Bombyx mori: one gene and its partner. The protein of the gene in region 2 purifies or fractionates together with the protein of the main gene of each other region. This does not show direct contact. Links are inferred from orthologs where the notes say so. Each region holds a gene or a part of one and is shown on either strand. Other genes may lie near its edges.

The links.
Region 1: the proteins of cold shock domain-containing protein E1 (region 2) and serine-threonine kinase receptor-associated protein purify together in Homo sapiens (affinity purification with mass spectrometry; 3 studies listed by BioGRID and IntAct, counting the BioPlex papers as one, with this or other methods). This does not show direct contact. The link is inferred for Bombyx mori from reciprocal best matches to the Homo sapiens genes CSDE1 and STRAP.

Annotation. Positions count from the first base shown.
Region 1 is NC_085123.1:9,315,320-9,327,344, reverse strand, and holds the start of serine-threonine kinase receptor-associated protein, read right to left. Parts: upstream 5,777-12,025; 5' UTR 5,552-5,776; coding exon 5,437-5,551; intron 5,267-5,436; exon of another isoform or gene 5,000-5,266; intron 4,259-4,999; exon of another isoform or gene 4,227-4,258; coding exon 4,092-4,226; intron 3,519-4,091; coding exon 3,360-3,518; intron 2,943-3,359; coding exon 2,821-2,942; intron 1,992-2,820; coding exon 1,910-1,991; intron 1,138-1,909; coding exon 970-1,137; intron 333-969; coding exon 139-332; 3' UTR 112-138; intron 1-111. Other genes in the region: signal peptidase complex subunit 1, read left to right, coding at 5,994-6,275; GPI inositol-deacylase, read right to left, coding at 7,052-7,391, 7,700-7,801, 8,337-8,770, 8,998-9,151, 9,758-9,946, 10,570-10,791, 11,153-11,281. UniProt on the Homo sapiens protein: The SMN complex catalyzes the assembly of small nuclear ribonucleoproteins (snRNPs), the building blocks of the spliceosome, and thereby plays an important role in the splicing of cellular pre-mRNAs.
Region 2 is NC_085107.1:6,381,229-6,392,689, forward strand, and holds part of cold shock domain-containing protein E1, read left to right. Parts: intron 1-1,315; coding exon 1,316-1,467; intron 1,468-2,284; coding exon 2,285-2,417; intron 2,418-3,458; coding exon 3,459-3,647; intron 3,648-4,399; coding exon 4,400-4,528; intron 4,529-7,622; coding exon 7,623-7,804; intron 7,805-8,981; coding exon 8,982-9,199; intron 9,200-10,517; coding exon 10,518-10,694; intron 10,695-11,181; coding exon 11,182-11,353; intron 11,354-11,461. UniProt on the Homo sapiens protein: RNA-binding protein involved in translationally coupled mRNA turnover.

The DNA of each region.
Region 1 (12,025 bases), on a different chromosome or scaffold from region 2:
CCTGCATTGCTGATATCCATGAGCGACGGTACCCACTCACCACTATCAGATGGGCTGCATAAACTCGTATGCCTACGGGGAAAATACAAAAAAAGATAATTAAGATATGACCTGGCTAGTGGAGGGTTGGCACGCGTGTCAGTTGGCCGGCACCTCCTTGTACCCGTTAGCGAGGGGCACGGTCTCGTTGGCGCGGCGCCACAGCCCGTAGGCGCGGCCCGGCACCGCCTGCCACAGCCGCACCGTGCCGTCCTCCGAGCCGGACGCGTACAGCTCTCCGTCCGGGGACCATCGCACGCAGTGCACCGGACCGAAGTGACCCCTGTTCGACTCTGTTACAAACGTTTAGCTTTTTAATACGCTTTTATTAGCTTGAGTGTGCTTAGTGAGAGTTTTTTAAAGTTCTCGATAGCGTAAAAGTTAGCTCATATTTGTATGGAATGGGATCGTTTGCGTACGTTTACCGCTAGGGGCGCTGTTCCAACTACATACGAAATTGGGTTAACTTTTACGCTATCGAGAAGTACAAGTATCTGAAATACAAAATGTAATATAATACGTATTTTCATCTTGTAACTATAAAACTTTTTTTAATTCATTTTGTAACTTTCATTTTAAATAAGTTTTGTTTGATATTTTAGTATTTTGTAAATACTATTTTTGCTAAAATACTTTTAGTAATAGATAACTGATTCTTTGATGACATCTTAGGCGACATTATTTTTATACGTCATTGTCGCCGTAAATAAAACTGAACGCGCCATTGAAACTTTAGTCTGGGGCCAAATTGATAGATGGTCTGGCAATACTTTCCCCTTCTACAAAATATCGGCTATGGCGCTTGAGTCGTGTCATATATATTTTTTTTTTAAATATATTATTTATTTTGTATCACGTTTGTTCGATCAATGCGATTTACATGTAAAAAAATAAACTTTCATTTCAAAAATAAAAATTCAACCAACTAACCCAGTTCAGTTCCAGTATTGTAGTCATATTTGTAGACTTTTAGATCGTCTCCGCCGCACACGAAGGTCGCCCGGCTCGGAGCCAGCGACGCCGAATAGCACTTCGTTGGCACGGGGAACTCGCGTAGCTTGCGCATCGTGTCCGACGTATAAAACGATACGTTTGTACCTGGAAAAAAAAAACTAAATATTGTTACGCCTTTACGAGCAACGCCATCTATCGTCGATTAGTAGAAACGAATATCAAAAGAACCAATAAAACCTAGAACGCTCGTAAAGTACAACGCCATCTATTATCAAATGACGGAAACATACGTCGAAACTACTCGACTTGTCAAGAATGTTCTCGATAATTCTAGGGATGTCATATTGAGTATAAAAGCGTTGCAGAGATGCGAAGCGAAACAGTGAACGGATGAGCTAAAGCGATGCGGGAGCAGTAAATTAAGAATTTTAAAGTGTTCGTTAGTGTTCTAAGTCTTAATACAGTTACTATTTGTACTTCGGTAGAATTTTTATTTATCCCGAACCCCAGCGCGTAACAATATTAATTCGCCATATATTTTGCAGATGCCACACTAAAACCGAGTAGAGCCTTTTGATTTATCGAATCAATTATCGCATCGCATTCTGATGGTAGGCAGCGTTTCAGCTGTTATCTAATAGTTCTTGAAGTTTTCCATACCGCTAACACGCAAGCACTTTTGTGACGTCACAGTTGTGAGCGTTAAGATTTTTTTTCAATGGACACCATCTTACTGCTTACAGCATATTCTCTGTGTGTCATTTACTTTCACAAAAGTGAAAAAGGTTTTATCTCAAGTCATAAGATATTCGTTACAAATTTCTTAAACTGCATATTGCAGTTGTACAGAACCCAATTTTGTATTTTTTTTAAAACTTATACAACAATGTTATTTTACTAACAAAACAAAAAGTACCGTGTGCAACAGTCAATATGGCTCCATCCCTGGACAACTCTAGACTATTAGGGACCGACTGGAATTCAACCTTTTGGACTTCCTGAAAATGTTGAGAATATGACATTTTAAATTATCATCACAGAAAATGACATTATTTTATTTATATTATATTATTATTTTATTATATTATTTATGTTTAAGCTTCTCTTAAAAGTTATTTTAAATTTGATTTGTATGAAGACAACTTTTCGCTATATAAATGATGCTTTCACTATTGGCGTATTCTTTTGTAATAATTCTTGTTTCATGAACAGCCACATGACGTACTTCGTGTACTGATATATATAATATAAAGCTTTCGTAAGTTTAAAATTGGAGATACCACATTTTCAAATTACAAAATACTTCAATCTTTTCCAATATACTCTATTTTTCAGTAGCATTGTAAGTATGAAATTCTTCTCTTTATTTATTAATTCAAATATGTATTAACCATATTAAGTTTTATGGCGTTTGTTACCAACAAATACAAAGCCAGCTTAAAACCCCTCTGACCATAGGACTATTTTCGAAGTTGACTTGAAGAAGTACAATAAATATAACAATTATTATTATTTCGTTACAATTTTAGAATTTATATTTAAAAATATAAATACATAGATTGGTAGTATGATGTTTTAGCACTGAATGAGGATTTCAATGTCTTCCTAAAATATTTATAAAGGCTCTCACTTATTGTCTTATGTCACATATTTTACTTACTAAAAAATATAGTTGTTTTTATAGTTTATAGCAAAATAAGAAATTTATAGCAACACTGGCAATATAAAATTATCTTGATAAAACTGTCAAAAAATATTATGATCCTATACAAGTATGTACTGTAGTCTGTGATAGGACGATTCATAGTATACATTTCGATTACTCACTTCTCCACTGTTACGATCCCAAACGCGCATAGTATTGTCATCACTGACACTCACGATTCGAGAGTTATTCAGGAACACTGCGTGTCTTATGCTACTTGTATGTCCGTTTATTTTTTCGATTGCTGTGAAATATAAACATTATTATTTGTAGTAAAATTAATTAACCACCCGCCCACCAAGAACATTTATGCTAGGCAAGTAAGCAGGATTTTGATCGGACCACTATTGCTAATAAAAGGAGTGATCCACAATTGTCAAAAATATTTTGACTGTCATCAGTTAACAAAAGAAATCAACATAATTTTTCTATGAGATTAATATTAAAATTCAGACCACATATTGTAGGCTTTGATAATATATACCAGCCTTTTTTGCTGTATTCAGTTTGTCATATCTATGGTCTCCAGTAACTACGTAACAATAAAGCAATAATAAGATTATATAAAGAAATTTTAGTTCATAGTTACTATAGTGGTCTTAATTCATTCAAAAACTAGTCTAAACAGTAACATAAACCAAATTAAGCAACAATTACATACGTCCAGCTTCAAGCTTGTTGAGGTCAAAAACTCGTATAAGTTTCTCATTGCTAGCAGTCACCAACAATGTGTCATCGGCATTGAAATTGACACTTTTCACAATGTGTTCATGTTCAAAAGTGTGGACCATATCACCATATCGAGCATCCCACAATTTTGCTGTAAATATAAAATTTGATTTTAAGTAATTTGTAATAGTTATTTTAATCACTTTTTACTAAATTTACTATTTTGGGTTTTGTGACCAAAAATTATCATTAACTCAAAATCTACACACTCGAAATAGGTTAGGCATATTTTTAGTTATTTCAAATCGTGAAATCGGTCACATATCACAGAGTGGAATGGAAATTTAATATGAAAAAACTTTTTTATATTATTATATTTATTTCAAAAAATATGTATTTTGTTCAGCATTTTAGCTTCACAAAGCACTTTAAGTACATATCTAAGAAAATACTCAGAGCTTAAACATTTAATATTTTTGGCTTCTTTCATTACTATTTTAGTAAGTCAGTGGCTAAAGTAGACCATGGTATTTTGTGTAAATGACAAAAATATTATAACTTTAGATCATATTAATAAAACAAAAAATTCAAACCTATGAGATTAAAGTACAAAATAATCACTCACAGTGTGATATCCTTAATCTAATTAGTAGCTTATTTGAAGTGTACAGTTTCAGATTTACATTTCAATAAAAGCAGTTTAACTTACTTGTTTAATATTTACCTGTAAAATCGGCTGCCCCACTAGCAGCCAAGTTTGCATTTTGTGTAAGTGCCACACCCCAAACAGCACCCTTGTGACCTTCAAATGTTCCAATCCAGTCACCAGTTTCACCTTGTCGTAACATAGGCTTGCCATCTTAATAACAAAACATGCCATTACATTATAATCTGAATAAAAGCAAAACCAGAAATCATATTAATAAAATATGAGGAATAAACAACCTTGTTAACAGTGAAGATAGCTCATTTATGTAAATAATTAGACAAATTAAGCATTCATACATAAACTATGTTGATACATGAGATAGTATATAATGATAGTAAAAGACAATCATAGCTCATACATTGTTTAAAGCTCTTTGTAAATTAACTAGTTGCTATTACATTTTAGTTTTGTTATGTTTAAAAATATCTGGTTATTGCTTTTTTACAACTACTAAATTATTTTCAGTGTCCAGATTATAACTCATAATAAGTTTCTGTTGATATTATTTTAAAATTCTGATTTTGTATAAAAGAACACAAAACATGATAACAACTATTAATTATACAAGGAAATAAATAAACAATACTACACTACATAATAACAACATTCAAGTATGCTATTTCCTGATTTTTATACTTATTTACATATAAAAAAAAGATTAATTCATCAGAGATTAATGGAACTATTAAATCAGAACCAAAACAGGTAACAGCTAAAACCAAGGATATCATACAAACAAAACATGTAAGCCAAGACTTGAATATAATTAATTTCACATTAGCAATACAAGGAAGTGAAAATTATAATAATTATCATTTATTTCTGATTTTCATTATAATAAAATTTACAGATAAGTCATTGTGTTAGAGTATTATGTTGTCAGAACTCCCATATCATTATTAATAATGTCAAGTACAACAAACCTTGAGCTGGTACAAGGTGACCCAGAATAAGTGAAATGTCAACATTTAATTTAATACAGGAATAAACTTCCGAGCTCGCTCCAAATTTGTATGCATTCAAAGTTGAAAAACTTGTATGTCATGCACTAGCCTCTAGTACATGAATAAAAAGCACGACGCGGCCCAAGGCAAACTGGCGCCGAGGAAACACACAAGTGGATATTCAAGGTGCTTCCTGCATGTCCGGAAAGAGAAGGTCGCAACATGCATAGAATGCACGCCGGCCAAACCTACTGTTCAGAACAAAACAACTAAAGTGAAGGTCTCATAAACGTAGCACGACGCCCGACATTTGTCAACGTGAAACACACCCCACTAATATTAGAAAAAATTATGTTTCCTATATATGTCACGACTAAGGCAAAAGCACCCCAAACGAATAAACAATAAAAACTTACCTTTGCAGGCAGAAATCAAATAATATCCGTCTTTTGTAACGTCACTAAAATCCAAATGCACGACTGGTCTCGTGTGGCCACCGCATGTAAGAGGAACTTGTTTAAGCGTTGTCATTTTGTTAAATTAATTTTGATTGTTGTACTTTGGAAAAATAAAACTAAATTATCTTTTTGTAAAACTAAAATTAACCTAATGAGTCTGATCGTACTGAATGTTGACAATCGACTGACGGAAAGGAAAAAGCAGTATTACTAGAAAATATCTTAAAACTACTATCAACATAGCTTTGTTGCAAGCCATCTAAATTTTAAGATATGGCTAAAAGTTTTTTGATAAAATAAAATTTAGGAAGAACAAAAAAAATATTGGCTAATAAAAAGAAACGTTTAGAAATCAGTTTTATAATACTGGTAATATCTTTTATGACGACGTCAATTTAGTATTGACGTGTCTATTGCTTGACGTTTAATGTCAGACCGTTTAATTGGTTACTTCTGATAAGTTTCTTCAAAATAATTTGTTGTTGTGGCAAGTGATATTAATCTAATTTAGCAAGATGGATTTCTTTACATCTATACCAACCCACATAGATTACGTCGGACAAGCAAAAGCAGAGAAATTATACAGGGCAATAATTACATTGTTCAGTATAGTTGGTTTTGTATGGGGTTATATAGTTCAGCAATTCTCGCAGTCAGTGTATATTCTTGGTGCTGGATTTCTGCTTGCTGCCATTCTTACTGTTCCTCCATGGCCAATGTACCGACGCAATCCTCTGAACTGGCAGGTTCCTAAGAACGGTGATGACAAACCAGCAGCCAAGAAAGGAAAGAAGTGAAATTCATTATCTCAAAATTTGTCTGTACAACTTTTACTTCTCAAATATATCCAATAGTTAATAAGTTTTAATTTTGTTTTATTTACATAACTGTCAATCTTAGTTTACACACACTTAAACGCACTATTATAAAATATGTACCAAATTAATCTTTTGAACTTTTAAACTAGCTAAGAAATATATGCACGTACTACAAAAATAAACTCTTACTATTAAGGACAAATGTTTTAAAATGAAACTATTATTAGTTACTTAGATAGATGTGCTCACAGTCCAACTAGTGTGAAGTGGTTATGAGGCCCATAGGCATGAACAACATAAATTATGTCATACTTGAAACATGAGGTCTAAATGTTAGTGCTATAGAGCAATGGCTGCCTGATCCTTCAAATTAAAACACATTACTGCTTTACAGCAGAAATAAGGTTGTAGGAACTACCTATGTGGGCTAACAAGATGCCTTAACACCAATAATTACAAAAATTATCATTTTTACAGGTTCGGTTTGTATTTCCTTATTAGTATTTCAGTGTTGATGTCAATGTTATGAACAATGATAGGTATGAATATCCAAATTGGTACCTTAATGAAAGAAAACATTTTCTGTTTAAATCACATATATTCCTTATGCAAACCAAACATTTCAACAAAAATTTTACTTGTTTCCTATTTGTGACAAATTATGGCATTCATTGTTGCTCAATGTTTATCATTATTACAATCCTACAAATACTATTTATATAAATATTTCAAAAACAAAACAAGTACACAAGTTGTTACAAATTATCCATTGTAGTTAAATCAAATTTATCTTGAAGATTCTTAAAAGCATCAAATATTCTGTTCTCATTGCATGGATCACAATCATTCGTTTGAATATTATCAGCTTCTTCTTTTTGGTTTTCTTTTGGTTTTTCATCATTATCATTCTTGGATTCATTTGTACCTTCAATGGTAGAACTTTGAACATCTTCCTTATCACATACTTGTTGTAATGTAATAACGACAAATGTGAAAGTGATTCCATAGTTGACTATTGTGAGTGATAGGGGTCCCAAAGCTAATATAAATATAGCCATTGTAAATAGTAAAGATGAAACCGCTTCATAATGCTTCCTATAACAATATATAACAAAATGTTTAATTTTATGTGTGTATTGTGTGATTCATTTAGTTTTTATTACACAAGCAAAGTTATTAAGTACATAAATTAATGCGAGCTATAAACTTACATGATGAAATACACCTTATACCACTGTGTAAGGACTAAGATGAGACCATGTGTGTTTCAAAATTACACTATTAACTTGAAATATGTATATGTAAAAGCAAAGAATGACCTTGGGATCATAACAAATAAAAGGAAAATACTAGAAATTAATTTCTTGCAATTTTTTTGACTGTAAAATAGTTCTCACACTTACAAATTTCTTCTGGGACCATTGATTTGCCAGATACAACTGGAACAAACTGACATGACTAGACCAGTGTGATATGACGTATCTGGTTTTAGTACCATGGAATACCTGTTGTAATAATTTTATTTAGTTAGTTAAATTTCATCATTTGGTCTGAGCACACTCGGGATCTTGCCTTCATCAATACATATAAAAAAAATGTAATCTGGTGTCTGTACATTGAATAGAGGTAAAAAAAATACAAATGGGATTAACAACATAACAGTAATAGAAAATCACTATTTTAGGAGTTTCATTATTTTGTTTTGTTCACAACATCTGAACAACTGAATTAATTTTCATATAGTCATCACAGGTAGTTATTAATTTGGCTAAGTTTCATTAAAATTGGATGTACTAAAAAAATTAGTATCATTTAAAAAAAAATCGATATCACTTTTTTACCGAAAGAATTGGTCTGAACCCTGGAAAAGAATATAGACTGCCTTTGATCGTACTGCTGAACACGGGTCTCCGCCTATACAAAATACTACGGTAAACGAAGATGCAAACGGGGCGCAAATAATTTAAATATTTTTTCTCTATACTTTTTTTTACATTGTGACATACCATAATACTGATCATGACGTCAATTTAAACTTACTTAAAGTTTCGCGCCCATGTTAATAATGCTGGAACATTGACTAGAGTTACTGTGATCCACATGAAAAACAACATCATGTGGAAGTTAATGCTATTAAAATCCTCGTCCAAGTCTTTGCTTTCACCTTTAATACTGCCTTCTTTGGGCTTTCGTTCGCTTTCTTTATTCGCAGAAACTAAAGCACAGTCTGTGTTTGAAGAACCGTCTTGTCCTACATTGTTCGTTGAATCCTTATCATTACCTTCAATTTCGTCAATTTCTTTAGATCTGAGATTACTTTCCTTTGCATCCGATAAAGCTTTTGAAATCAAATTGGTTTCAGATTTTTCATATTTGTTTCTTGTCGAGTTGAACATACGACAGACTTTAGAAGCTAGCTTTGCCATTATTTTGTAAACGTAATCTTCTAAATATTCTTCATACATTTTCGAGAGCTGTAAAAGTTAATACAGAATTATTAATTAATTTACGGTAGGCAGCGGCTTGGCTCTGCCCCTGGCATTGCTGAAGTTCATGGGCGACGATAACCACTCACCATCAGGTGGGCCGTATGCTCGTCTGCCTACAAGGGCAATTTTTTTTTTTTGCGATATTTAGTGACGTTTGCTAGATTTTAATAGTCATAAACAATGATAAATTCATTATATTGATCATCACTAACCATAAATGCATAAAATGCGGCACCGGCAGCCAATGAAGCTGCTCCGCATGATAAAGGAACCGCACAAACTAGCGCTGCACTCACGATCATGGGGAGCTTGTGCAATCCGGTGGCCATTTTCTCTGCTAAACTACCACCGCCTCGCCATACTATTCTGAAGCAAAAAAAAGACTATTCAAATGATAGATTCACTTTTACAAAATATGTCAGGCTGACTTATTGTATACTAGCTGACCCGGCACATTTGTGGAGAGTATTAAGCGATAGGCAGCGGCTTGGCTCTGCCCCTGGCATTGCTGAAGTCCATGGGCGACGGTAACCACTCACCATCAGGTGGGCCGTACGCTCGTCTGCCTGCAAGGGCAATAAAAAAAAAACAAAAAAAGAAAAGACTTTGTTGTGCCTCAATCGATAAATAAAAAACCTAAACTTTTGTATAATAATCTTAAAACAAACAAAAGGAAGCCGTCCGACGGGGGACACATCAAAAGAAAAACAAAATTGTTATTTTTATTTAATTCAGAGCATTTTTATATTTATCTAATCTTTTAAACCTTCTCTGGACTTCCACAAATAATTCAAGACCAAAATTAGCCAAATCGGTCCAGCCGTTCTCGAGTTTTAGCGAGACTAACGAACAGCAATTCATTTATATATATATATATATATATATAGACTCTTAATACTCCAAAGATGTAATATTAGCTTTGTGGTGACGATAGTATATTTTTAGAAAATAATCATAAATCAAAGTACTTACTTAAACAGTAATCTATGCGCTATCTGTGATGAAAACACCATTGCACCCATTATAGCAGCAGCTACAATATTGACAATCCCTAATGCTGTCATATAAGCTGGCAACACTAACAGGGATTTGATAAAATACTGCAATTCGAGATCCCTCCAGCTTGCGCTTTCGAACATAAATGAGAACAGCGGAATCGCCCTGAAATAATACAATAAAAAGAGAATAAAACAGGCTTAAAATGAAGAGTGGCTGATGTTATATTTTTATATTCTATAGAATGATGCACGACGCTATGATCGTCGTTATGTTTTGTGTGCAAAAGAATGCAATGAGTTCCCAGTTGTCCCAAAAGTTTGTTAAATGATTATGAGCAAGTTGAAACAGCTGAACGTATTGAGCTTTTATTTTCGGCCATTAATCATAAATTCACCGCCCTATAGACATCACAACATAATGTGACCGCCTACTGAAAGATATGACGTCGAATGTATAATTTTTTTTAACAATAACGGCTACGGAATGAGCTCCCCTCCACGGTGTTTACCGAGCGCTATGACATGTTCTTCTTCAAAAGAGGCTCGTGGAGAGTAATAAGCGGTAGGCAGCGGCTTTGGCTCTGCCCCTGGCATTGCTGAAGTCCATGGGCGACGGTAACCACTCACCATCAGGTGGGCCGTATGCTCGTCTGCCGACAATGCCAATAATAAAAAAACAACTATCGTAGCCTTCAATCAAATACATATTATGAAGATCCGTTACATTTTGGTTTCTAACAGAACCGGCTCATCTGCAAAAATTCTTCAAACCGAAAAGTTACTTACAAAAAAATCTTAGTTGCTAATCTTGAAAACACGAGACAATAATAGGGTTTGACGCCTTCGCTCATTAAAGCTCCATGAATGGTCAAGCATGATCCAGATTCTTGAAAGTTCATAATAATACTTCTGGCAGCTAATAACACTATGGCGGCTACATACGGAATAAGTACTGGACCGTAATTTCGAGTAAACTGAGCGAGGCGATTGTACCACGATGACGATATACTGTATGATGAATAAAAAATAAATTTAGCATTAATGAAAAACAAAAAAATATTTTTGTCAAATTAAAAATAGAATTTCAAATATTGAAACATAGATTAAGAAGTAAACATTTCTATTAAAAAACCCAGACACATATCGATATAGTATTCAGTTACGTTTATAAAACTCACCCTGGAAATAAGTTAAAAAATATTCGTGTGGAATACAGAAAGAAGACTTCTGTTCTAATTTAAAATTGGTTAAATTTGTCCATCAAATAAAGACCGTGTATCTTTATCATACTCTGTCACACACATAGCCAAGTGGACAAACTTATTATAACTGTAATTTAAAACTACACAAAATCACAAGTATAACTCACCTGAGAATAAATTGACATTGAGGATCCAATAGCAAAGTAATTTTCGCGTGCTCGGTGGTTTCCAACCCAAGTGTTAAATTAGGGTTTGTTTTAAAGAGCCTTAACTTCATAGGCGACCTTTTCAAATGCCTAAAAATAGGATTATCACATAACAAAATGTTTTGTGTTGATACAAATATGTTCGAAACATAGCAACCCTATTTTCCTCACCGCGGCGGAAGCGGGAGAGGCGTGGACTTGCAAAATAAAACGACGTGCATCAACGAAAAAACGCACAATCATTTTCGGTCCCGTAAAACTGTACTAATTTTGATCCAATTTAATAAACCAGCTATAAATAAAGTCCACTTTTATTTGAATAAGCCTTGCACCCAACATCTCATCGCAACGGCGCCAACAATATATGATCTTATTTTAATGTTGTTTGACAAAGGAATCCATTATTACACTTTGATCAAGTACCTAAATCCTGTTATTGGCCTCTTTTAATTATATTTTAGCTTTGTTATTGAGGCATATGATCATAAATAGTTACATAATACTACTAGCTGACCCGGCAAACGTTGTTTTGCCATATAAATGATTTCTAGGAAAGACAAATAACCCAGGTACCGACTGCAGCACCCTCTGCCGGGCTGATTTGTGAATCTAAGCCATCCAGGGTGCCATCCAAACGCATACAAAAAAATCATTCAAATCGGTCCAGCCGTTTAGGAGTTCAGTGACAAACACACGCACAGAAAAAATATCTATATATTAATACGTGAAGCAAAAACTTTGTACCCCTTTTTACGAAAATTGCGCGGACGGAGGAGTATAAAATTTCTCACACTTATAGAGAATATAGAGAAGGAGTGCACAATGCTATTTTTT
Region 2 (11,461 bases):
CTTTTTCTTTTGGTACACTTAACAATACTTCTTTTGGAACATTTTATATTGTCTCTTGTTAGAGCCAATTTATTCGAAGGTTATATAAGCTATGTAAATGAAATTTAAACGGTCTATTTTATATTGAAATGGGTACAGAATGGGGTTATGACGTTTACACACAAACATCATAAGAAAAAAGCAGTTCTTTATTCATTTCTTGAACTAGATGGTTGGATACACGAGCTCACAGATCACCTCGTGTTATGTATTGTAGTTATCGGAGCTCATATATATTATAAGGGTGATTACTGTCACTAAAGACATGAGGTTCGTCTCATTTGTATTGTTTAACGATTATCCCATGTATTTATATTTTATATACATAAGTATGTATCAGTTTCAATAAAGGATATTCTAGTTTGGGGCCCAGGTGTCTTGTGCATCCCTCATTATTTATTTTTATATTTCACACCGAAATCCGTGACTTATTCGCGGCTAAAAACGTCGGATTTAACTTACTCTCTAGTACAAGTGTTCAGTATAAGGTTAGGGACAATAGTAGAGGTTAAGTATGAGAAACATAACATTACTGTATTTCGATTTTTTATGACTGAATAGTAAAAGTAAAAATTCGTCCCAACATTAGCAATAATTAATTTGCAACATTAGATGATGATAAAATTTGTAAATATAAATATTACGAACATTATCTTTTTTTATCATGATTCATTTCTTTATTTATTTATTTCCCGATAGATTTACTAACACAGCTTTTTATCGGAACCATGTGCTTGCAATGTACACACTACAAAGCTCATTCATTTGAACAAAATGTTGTGACCCTTCTTCTAACGTACTATGTTCGAATTTACAATACGACTCTTTTTGTGATGTGCTTTGGCGTAATTTTGCAATACGTTGCGGACGTGTGCATTGGCAAGATAGAATGCTAGAGTCATCAAAAAAGTTCTCGGAATTAGCTTGCCAGTTTATGACGGTGAACTAATCTTGAACAGGTGAGGCGTAAGCGCGTCTGATTTCGATAGCAATATAAAATTTGTGAGTCCGCGCGGATAGGTACCAGCGCCCTGCTTATTTCTGCCGTGAAGCAGTAATGCGTTTCGGTTTGAAGGGTGGGGCAGCCGTTGTAACTGTACTTGAGACCTTAGAACTTATATCTCAAGGTGGGTGGCGCATTTGCGTTGTAGATGTCTATGGGTTCCAGTAACCACTTAACACCAGGTGAGCTGTGAGCTCGTCCACACATCTAAGCAATAAAAAAAACTGTATGGTACCTTCTTATAAAAATTACCATTTAAACTATTCTTACCAGGTCCCCTTTGGAGATAAAGACCAGTGTGGTGAGTTTACGCTCCGACACGGAGATTGGGTGCAGTTTCAAGTTGCAACCGATCGTCGTGATCAGCTCAAGCGCGCCACTAATATTTCTCTCCTCGATGAATCTTTTTATGTATCTGGCGAACGGTGAGTCGTATACGTCGAAACCATTGTTCGTTTAAATTAAATTTAGCAAACAATGAGATATGCATTGAGCTAAGTCAAGGAGAAATTTTCGAATTTGGGAATCCTACAAAATACCTACAAAAACTATAGTAAATATTTGAATAATAAAACCTCATTTTCATTGATATGTATATTATCTGTAGTGCAGTGTAATATAATAATGTATACAACTCACGCCAGCCGGAGTAATAGCTAGGTATTCAATTATGAACTAATGTTCAAGAAAAAAATTGTAAATTGTTTTTTTTTTTACTGGCGTTTGTTTGTACTTGATAAGCGAATCAGCGAATTAAGCGGCAACCGAAGCTCAGACCCTGCAGTGTTAATCTTGCCGTATATAACGAGAAATGAGGTTCAAGTCTCATTTGCATTGAAATAGTGGCTATCTTTACACTTATAGTCGGAAATAATGATTTTTTTATGGCCGACATTAGCAAGACTGGTTCCCGAACGAGCCAAACATTTATCCCACCACCACCACCACTAATATCTTAAACTTAAATCTACTTTTATTTAAATAATACATTCTACAAGATACTTCCGTCTCATGTGAGAAGATGGAAGGTAACATTCACGTTACGATATTTACTGGCTCCGCAAAACGCTTAACATCAGCCGGGGCCATGAACTAGTTCATCGATCTAGTGTAAGAAAAGGAAATTAGTCAGCTAAATTGATGAATTTATCTGAAATACACTACAATAAAATGTGTTCAATACTTTTACGTAATATAGTTTAACCTTGACCCGTTTGATAATTGCATAAGTGATTGTAACAGGCGGGAGCAAGGCCTCGTGTGCTCTCTGCGGGAAGGGTTCGGATTCATCCGTTGCGTGGAAAGAGAACAGACTATGTTCTTTCATTTCGCCGAGGTTCTTCGCTTAGGACAAGATCTCACCGTTGGAGATGAGGTAAATATGTCTCCAAAGAGTACTATAGTAAAATTGGTCCGGATTGTGGAACTGTATTTTCAATATAGTACTTTTAAAAGAGAACATTAGCGCTTCTAAGATACTGCTTACAATGCTCATTTTACGTACGTTAAAATCATGTTGTGATCAAATAGAATAAATTGTAAATATACGTAACGCTTTTGTTATTGAATAGTGAATGCTGACACACACATTAAGTCTCAATTACTCAATTAGTCTTGTTATAAAAACACGTTAGTGTTTGTTTATTTTTTTAATTAAGTTGTTATATTGACATAATATTTATAAGTCTTGATGTGCGGAGTAGTTAACGGCCTACATTTAGTGTTCACCGGGAATTAGAGTAAATGACAACATGAATGCCGCTCGCTACTTATGTTAAATGTATATGATGTTAGACACGAAGTTAATTTTCTTTTTCTCTTTTTTTTCCTGCTTATGGTGAAGCTGAAATAACCTCTCAAGGCTATCAGCTGAGAGGCTATTTCAGTTTCACCCTAATGTAGGTGAGCTCTCGGGGCTCAAACCGGAAGTGTGACTAACACTGGTCTTAGCAAGAGCAGTGTTTCGCAGAATTTACCACCAGATCAGAAACGCGACCCGCTGAGAAGATCCGGCGAGAAACTCAGTGGGCTGTGTCTGGGTTAATTTGGGACGGTGACTGGAGTTAAAATCATAACCGTTATGTAAAACTATCTTCTCACCCTTCAAACCGGACCTTCTTGGCTAGTAATGGATAAAGTGGTGTAAGTTCATAATTACTTGTAGTGCAAGTAATTAAGCAAGGGTAAATTTTGTTGATTTTAATTTATTCAACGAGGAACAACCAGGTAATCGTAGATACAGTTACTGAATCATGAAAAAGTACTGACGGCGCGAGGAGATTTAGTCGAATTTTCGTATACTCTGTATGTCAACTGAACATACTTGTTAAGCTAGATACTCTGCTCTCACAGTTACAAACAAATTACCATGGAAATTAAACCTTGAATCCGGGTGCAAATTTAAAGTATTCCGCAGGTGGAGTTTACCGTTGACCATTTATCGACATTCTCGAACATGAACACGCGGCAATCAGCTATTCGCATCAAGCATCTCTCGCCGGGCACGGTTCAGTTCGAGACTCTGATCGAGCGCGGCGTCAGAGGTGTTGTGACCAAGGAAGCTCAAGTGTACAACAACACCGGCAGTCCGACCCGACAGCCTCCAGTAAGTTCTTAACGCCCTAACCGCGGGATAATTTTTGAGGAATTTTCAGGCAACGCGTATGAGGTATTTTTGAGGCAAGATTGGACTTCTTTATAGTGTGCTTGAGACATAATACGACTCACATAAGTTATTTATAAATCACCCGTAGTATAGGAGGTGATAGTCGCTCATGAGGCTTTTTAAGTAGCATAACGCAAAAAAGGTATTAAATGTGCCAAATTTGCATTCAAACTTCAATGGCGATAACAACGTTCGATGCTGATAGCGCCTTCTTAGTCCGTTATATCGTCACGTCGGATTGTTTATTAGAGAGCAGATGGGTCTATTGTAACAAGGGGCGTGGATTCTATTCCCGATCGAAGTTAACATCTTTTGCTGATGGTTGAGTTCTGGTCTGGCTTTATTTGTCAAGTGTGCATCAGTGCTAATAACCCGGGAGAAAAACATAGCTTGGGACTGCGGTATGTGGAATGTACGTACGTATATATTTTACCTATATTGCCATGTTAAGTTTTATTTATACAAAATTGTTTTTGTCATCATAGACGAAAGACGCAGTATTGGAAACTAGACAAATTGACTATGATTTGGTATGAAATATTTAAATGTTATTCTACTGTTCAATTTTTAGATTGATAAACGACGGTAGTAACTAATGCGGTCTATTAAAGTCCATTAAAATATACCAAGATGTAATTAATGAATTGCTTCTTTTATTATACGTAAATAATAAACAAAGCTTTTTCCTTCAGCCGGATACAAATGGACTAATCTCTTGTCAGATTAATCAGACTAAGAAATCTCTGCCTTTTATGGCCAAAAAATGCGAATCAAAAATGCTACCCCGTGTTGGAGACAAGGTCACCTTCGACTTATACCAGGTAATGTATATTTTAATTTTGCCAGTGCAGTGCGGCTATTGCTACATAACTGCTTTGCGAATGTAATAAATGAACAAGTTGTTCCTAAATGAAAATGAAGTGAAAAAAAAACACGCACGTGATAGAAGTGAGGGTTTTCAAATGAGAGGGTAGTTTACATCTGAATATAAATGATAGGATTTTCTTATTACAAAAATCTTGAGGATGTCCCATGTCCCAAGGTGGGAAGGTTTTTTATTTGTGATACTTATCCTTTGTAAATACCTAAATAACAGGTGGACCATAAACACTTTTCATCACTCCATTTCTAATTTTGAATTAAATTAGAATATTAAGTTTGTAACAGTTAGAAGTACTGAATTGCAGAAGGAATTCAAACAGGACTGTTTACTTTTTTTTCCTACCTATGCTGATAGCTTTGAGAGGCTATTTCAGCTTCGCCCTAACGTGTAGGTGAGCTCACCGGGCTCAAACCGGACTGTTGCTAACACTGGCCCTAGCAAGAGCAGTGCTTCGCAGAATCTACCACCGGATCGGAAACGCGATCCACTGAGAAGATCCGGCGAGAAACTCAGTGGGCTGTGTCTGTGGGTTAATTTGCTCGTCGAGCCCTTCGTCGCAAGCGACGGGTTCGACGAGGACGGTGACCGGTGCTTGTGGTACCTAAAGACTGTTTACGCGTTAGATGCTTTACTTCAGTCGACGAGCAGACAGCACCTAATAATAGGTAACCGAATATTATTAGGTCAGAGATGTGTGCGTTTCTAACGGTAAGCGGTAGTCTGGTATCGAAGTAAATTTCGTATTGAGATATAGGGGTCGAAGTTTCTAGAATGACTTGTCATAGAAACAGATCTGAAGTGCTCCGTAGTTTGTTATACTGTGATTGTACGGCAGTAGATTCTATCAGTGTATTTTCGAAGCACAAGTTTATAAATTACTAAATTACTAAAATTTTATTGAGGACTTTTTAAAAAGGATTGGTATCGTCGTTTACGAGCTGACAGTGTTGTAAAGTACGCGTGATGATTTTGAGAAACAAGAGTTTGATAGGTTCTCCCGTATTTTTGACTTTTGTTCGGTCTCTAGTAGCAGGAGGCCGTCAAATGCTGGAAGAATTTTATAAATGAGTGACTGGACTTCTCTTAGGACAAATGTGGTCGCACCTCTGGAGGTGTTATTAGGCTATTGGTCAGGTCTTAATAGCTTAATATACTTCTTAGTGTAAGGTCTTTCTGGGCCTTAAAGGATAAACAGGTATTAAAGAAAATCGCAACGTTACATTGAAAATGACAGCAATTCGAAAAATGTAAATTAGTATAAAATCGAAGTTGGTTATTATGTGGTCATTGCATTATTCTCTGTGATACATATGTTTTCATTTGACCCTAAATCCATTTGCATTATAAGCGAAAATAAACCTTGCCAAAGTGATTAAGTTTTTTCGAATTTATAAGTAATAATAAATCACAGTAAAATGTCTTTGGTTATACTATTTGTATCTGACTAGTTTTTATACCATTGAATAGATGACATTAATTTTTTTTTGTGGAAACGGTTTACCTCCATTTTTATATTGATTTTCTGTCGAAAATAAGCGGATCTGACGAAGAAGTTGCGATATATTTTGAAGTTAACTTACAGAAAAAGTGACGTTTTATAAACTTATCGAAGTGTCATTAAGACTAGCATAAAATTGGTTCAAGCCAAGTCCAGGAATTTTTACGTCAAACATGAAGCTTGCTCTGGTCGACCTGTATCGGGGCAAAGTCGATGCCATTCTTTGAAAAAGTGGAGCAAGGTCGGCTTGTTAGTGATAGGACGATATAACTGAGTGGCTAGAGGGGTTAGAGGCTCACTACAAAACAGTTTTGAAAAGGAGTTTGCCTATAGAGAAAAACGTCGGTATTATACACGAGCGAGAATAAACTTATGAATCGTTTTTTATTCTCTTTTTGAAAGTAATGAAACTGAACCGCTTAAAAAAAAATTCATTGATAGTGGTCAATAGAAGATTGTCTGAAACAGGACTACACGTAACGTGCTAAAAAGCTGTCAAAGAGCAGTTAAGCTCCAAACTAGCGAAACCCGGATTAATTCGCAGTAAGATGATGCTCGCGTATGCTTGGATTGTAAGGGCATCGTTAATTTGAGCTTTAACTGCCGGGCAAAATCGTCGATTCAGATTACTACTGTTAAAAGCTGAAAGGACTCGAACAAGTTAATTAAAAAATAAAAGTAGCCGGAATTGGTTAACACAAAGGGTGTCGTGAAAAAAACGTGAAACTACACACAACTTTGGCCACTCATTAAATATTGAGTAAGCTTGTTTGGGTAGTGTTAATGATTCTAACATATTGCCATAATTATTCACCCTCAGATTTTTATTTGTTTTGGTCTCTTCAGAATTCATTATAGTGCCAGATCTACATCAAGAGAGGACTCTCAAAAGTACTTGTTGCAGTTTTTTTTAAACAACATACCAGAAATGTTGAGGAATGTGCACGTTTACATTATAATTAAACGTAATGTAAAAAAATAAACACGTAAAAACACATTTAATTTGTGTTATATATAAATTACGAAAAAACTTTATCTCTTAACAACAAAATTGCTAACATTGGATATGTATTTGTTTTGTCGAAATATTTAATGCATAAAGTCACTTCACAGTTGTCACATTGAAAATTAAGTTTCTTTTGATCCAAATGATATAACGTTTTAGACTTCTTTCGTAGGGAAATCTCTAGAAAATTTGAGCGTATACTTGCGCTCTGGTGATAATGCTCAGGAATATTGAGCGTATGATGGAGATAGGTTTAATGCACGTGTTACTTTGTGGGCTATCATACTCTACAATTGCTAAATAGTTTATTCTATATCTTTTTCTTTGCCTTTTTTTTGAGAATCTTCTACGAAGTACCCGCGTTATATTTTTTATATTACTTGAGAAACTATTATTATTATTATTATTGCTTAGTTTTACATGTAACGGTTTCGTTGAAATTCCCATTAATCAATGCTTTGTTGTAGTGTAATGAATATATGGAAAACAAAATAAGCGGAAACATAATATTTATAAATAATTCCACAGGTTAAACGCACAAAGGAGCTTGTAGCGATGTCAGTACAAGTCCAACACAGTCTTACAAACGGCAACTCGAGTAATGGAAACGGCAGCCGTCCCATCATGCAAGGTTTCATAGCTGCTCTGAAAGATGGATTTGGTTTTATTGAAACATCAGATCACACCAAAGAAGTGTTTTTCCACTTCAGGTGCGTAATATTGATATTAAACCTTGATTTTTTTCTATTTGCTGATGATTACAAAAAATACGTCCAATCAATCTATTTTTTTAATAGATTATTTTCATGAAACTGGTGGTAGGGTGTCCTAGTTTCGGCTTGGAGCGAGTGGTAACTGTTTTACAATAAAATTGGGACTTAAACCTCATATCTCATCGTGGGTGGCAGTATTCATAAACTTCATGTCTCAAGGTAGTTCACAACGTTCACGTTATGATGGTTATCGGCCGCAATAACTACTTAATACCAGATGAGCTCAACACTTACACAGCGATCTTCTTAATGAAAAAAAAAGATGAAAAACGTATGAAAATTGGCTTAGAAAATGAAAGAAAATTCATTACTTGAAAATCAACGAATCATTTCACTTGCACTGCGAAATGTATATAAGTAGATATTTTTTTTTATATTTAAAAATAATTTGCTTTACTCATTTTGTTTGCATGTATTAAAATTATTTTGCTCAGTATCAACGTACCTCTTATTATAGTATGTAAAAAATGAACACGCTTATAATACGTTGCTTTTACCTTTTTCTTTCTATCCCTTTGTGAACGATATTTTCAATTTATTTTATTCAGCGCCGCTGAACGTAACTAATGCTATCTAAAGCGGGTTTATCGCCCCCTTTGTAAAGTGCGTTTATTTATAGTTCTAGTCTATAGCGCTTTTATTGCATAAGCAGCGAAGCGATTGTATTAATGGTGTATTTTTCGCAATCGTAAAGGATTGCAAGTAAGTACTGTATTAAATATGAAATGTGTTGTTATGCTTTGCAGATTATTTTATTTTTTTCAAATTAAACAAGATTCATATCAAAAGTAGCAAAAAAAGAAAGAATTATTAAAACTGTCCTTTCTTCTTCTTAAATAGATTGTAAACTTCAATTTTGTTTTTATAAAAAATTCATATAGTAATTCCCATTATGATGGATTGTTGATAACTTTTTGATTGGTACCAATAGGCATACAATGAGTTCACCAAAATCTCTTTGTTGATAGAAAAAATACACAAGCGAATATTTAACAAACAAAACGCATATATAATGCGAATATTATTTTATTTAAGCCTGGCGCTGAGATGTTGTAATATATTTAAGAAATTTGAGTATACGAAATTCACTAAACTTGTTAATCTTAAATTTCAGTAATTTGGAAGGTAGCCCGGAAAATTTGGAATTGGGCATCGAAGTCGAGTATAGTTTGGGTCGCCTGAACGGCTCTGGCGGGGGCTGTGCAAGCGCTGAATACGTCCGTGTTTTGGCTCGAGGTACTATACCTATTGCGAAGCCGCTAGAACCAACTCTAAATGGAACTGTGACGAGAACCTTACGGGCTCTGAACCCTGATCAAGCCCAATATTCCGGTAAGCAAATTTTAGTATTGAAGTCTGGAAAACCCACGAAAAATTATAGTTGTATTTACAACCCTAGTCGAGGGAAAAAGGCCTAGGGGTAGAGGTCCCGAATGATGGTCAGACTAAATAGCGGAGGAACTAAAAATACCTGTTAGCGACGCTCTCCACCAAGCTAGAGAACGGGATCGATGGAGACAGCTAGTTTACGGAATCAAACTGAGTCACGATCCTCAGCAACGAGGGACCGATTGAAGAGAGAGAGAGATATACGTTGACTGCAAAGTAAAAATGAGGAGTTATTGCTTTGGTTCACTGGATAAAAAAATTGAGATTCATTGATGAATTCAGCTTGTTAGCTTATCATGCACTCTTGATCTTATTGATCCTTGGTTCTGGACGTACCCGCTTTAGTTACACAATAATTGTGCTAGTAATAGTGTTGTCGCGTCACTTAGAGAGATTGCTTATTTAATCGATTGAATTGAAAAATAATTAAATTATTATATAAGTATTAACAGTTGTGCATTGTGCTGATAACAAAATTTAATCTTTTAATTCATTTAACTTTTGTCTCGTTAACAATTTTACTTAACTTTACAAATTAGAAATTGTCAAAATAGGTAAGAGAGCTATGATAGGAATGTCTTCTGCATCCCGCCCCCTGAGGGTTTATTTATAGTTTTTCCCGCTGGCCAGTTTGGCATTGTAGATGACATGCAATTGTTCTACCCGTGTTTTTCAACAGAGCAACCGGCTCACGAAAGAGTAAACTCCTCGACCCACGCTGTTCTGACTCAACGGGGTGTCCGGAGTATTTTTTTATGTTTGAGAGGTTACTGGTGGCTCGGAGGCCTTTCTAGTTTTACCAGGGCAGGTGGGCGAGCAAGGGCTCAGTCAGGAGGGGTGGGATTTGCTAACAGCTACCCGAGCGCTTCCAAAGGATACCTAACGATTTAAGAGTAGCTGTTTTGCGAATGAATCTACTACCGGATCGGAATTGCGATCCGCTGAGAAGATCTGGCGAGAAACTGATCGGGCTGATGCTTAGGTTAGGTTGCACGTCGAACTCTCGCCGAGTTCGACGAGTATGAAAGGTGCGAGTTGGCCGTGCCGTCAACCGAGCTATATTCCTCTTAGGCCGTCGACCGAAACTTTCGGTGGCCTTTGCGACGACAACTGTACGGCACCCCGTGGGTCCACAAGGGGTCCATAATTTTATTTTTCGATTATTTAGTTGTGCTCGTTATTAAAGCGTATCTTTTTAGTTTAGTTTTAAACTATAATTTTGTTTGAATTATGAGTTTAGTGCACTTTTTTTGTTCTTCAGGTTTGATTCAAGTGGAAGGTGGGACAAGCTATGAGTTTGGCATTATGGGATTATCATGCAAGCGTGAGATTCTGCAGGTTGGTGATCCAGTAACTTTTCAAGCTGACATAGAGGGACGGGCCAGTAACATAGTGCCAATTAGAAAGAAGCGACGTGCCATTGTTGACGCCATAAAAGGTACGTAATTATTTTGACTATTATATAAAAAATAAGAAAATCTGTAGATAAAATGAGGAGAAATTATACTTAACTATTTTCTGTTTTTAGCCTGTATAAATAATAATAATAATATAAATATAGAAATTTAAATGAAGTAAATAGCCTGTTGTTTAACGTAAATTTGTACTAAATAGTTGAAAGTATACTTTTTTTTTACTGTTTAGATTGGGTGGACGAACTCACAGCCCACCTGGTGTTAAGTAGTTACTGGAGCCCATAGACATCTACCGCCACCCACCTTGAGATATAAGTTCTAAAGTCTCAGTATAGTTACAACGGCTGCCCCACTCTTCAAACCCAATCGCATTACTGCTTCACGGCAGAAACAGGCGGGGCGGTGGTACCTACCCGTGCGGACTCTCAAGAGGTCCTACCACCATTAATTAGGCAAATTATAATTTCACTGCAATGTTGGATAAATAAATGTATCGTACGTTAATTCCAGGTGTTTTTGGCTTTTTGTCTGTCGACGGCGAAGATACTCGTCGTTTGTTCTTCCACATGTCTGAGGTTCGAGGTAATCCCTCCGAGTTGCAGTCGGGGGATACTGTTGAGTTCGTGATGCTTACTAATCCTCGTAATGGGAAGTCTTCTGCTTGCAATGTCGTTAAAATAGCGTGAGTATACTTTTGGAAATAAAAGCTATTCAAGGTATTAGTAAAATTAAATGCTTTGTCATTCAAACTTTGTTTTTGGAATTTAGTCTGACAAATATAGATTCTTTG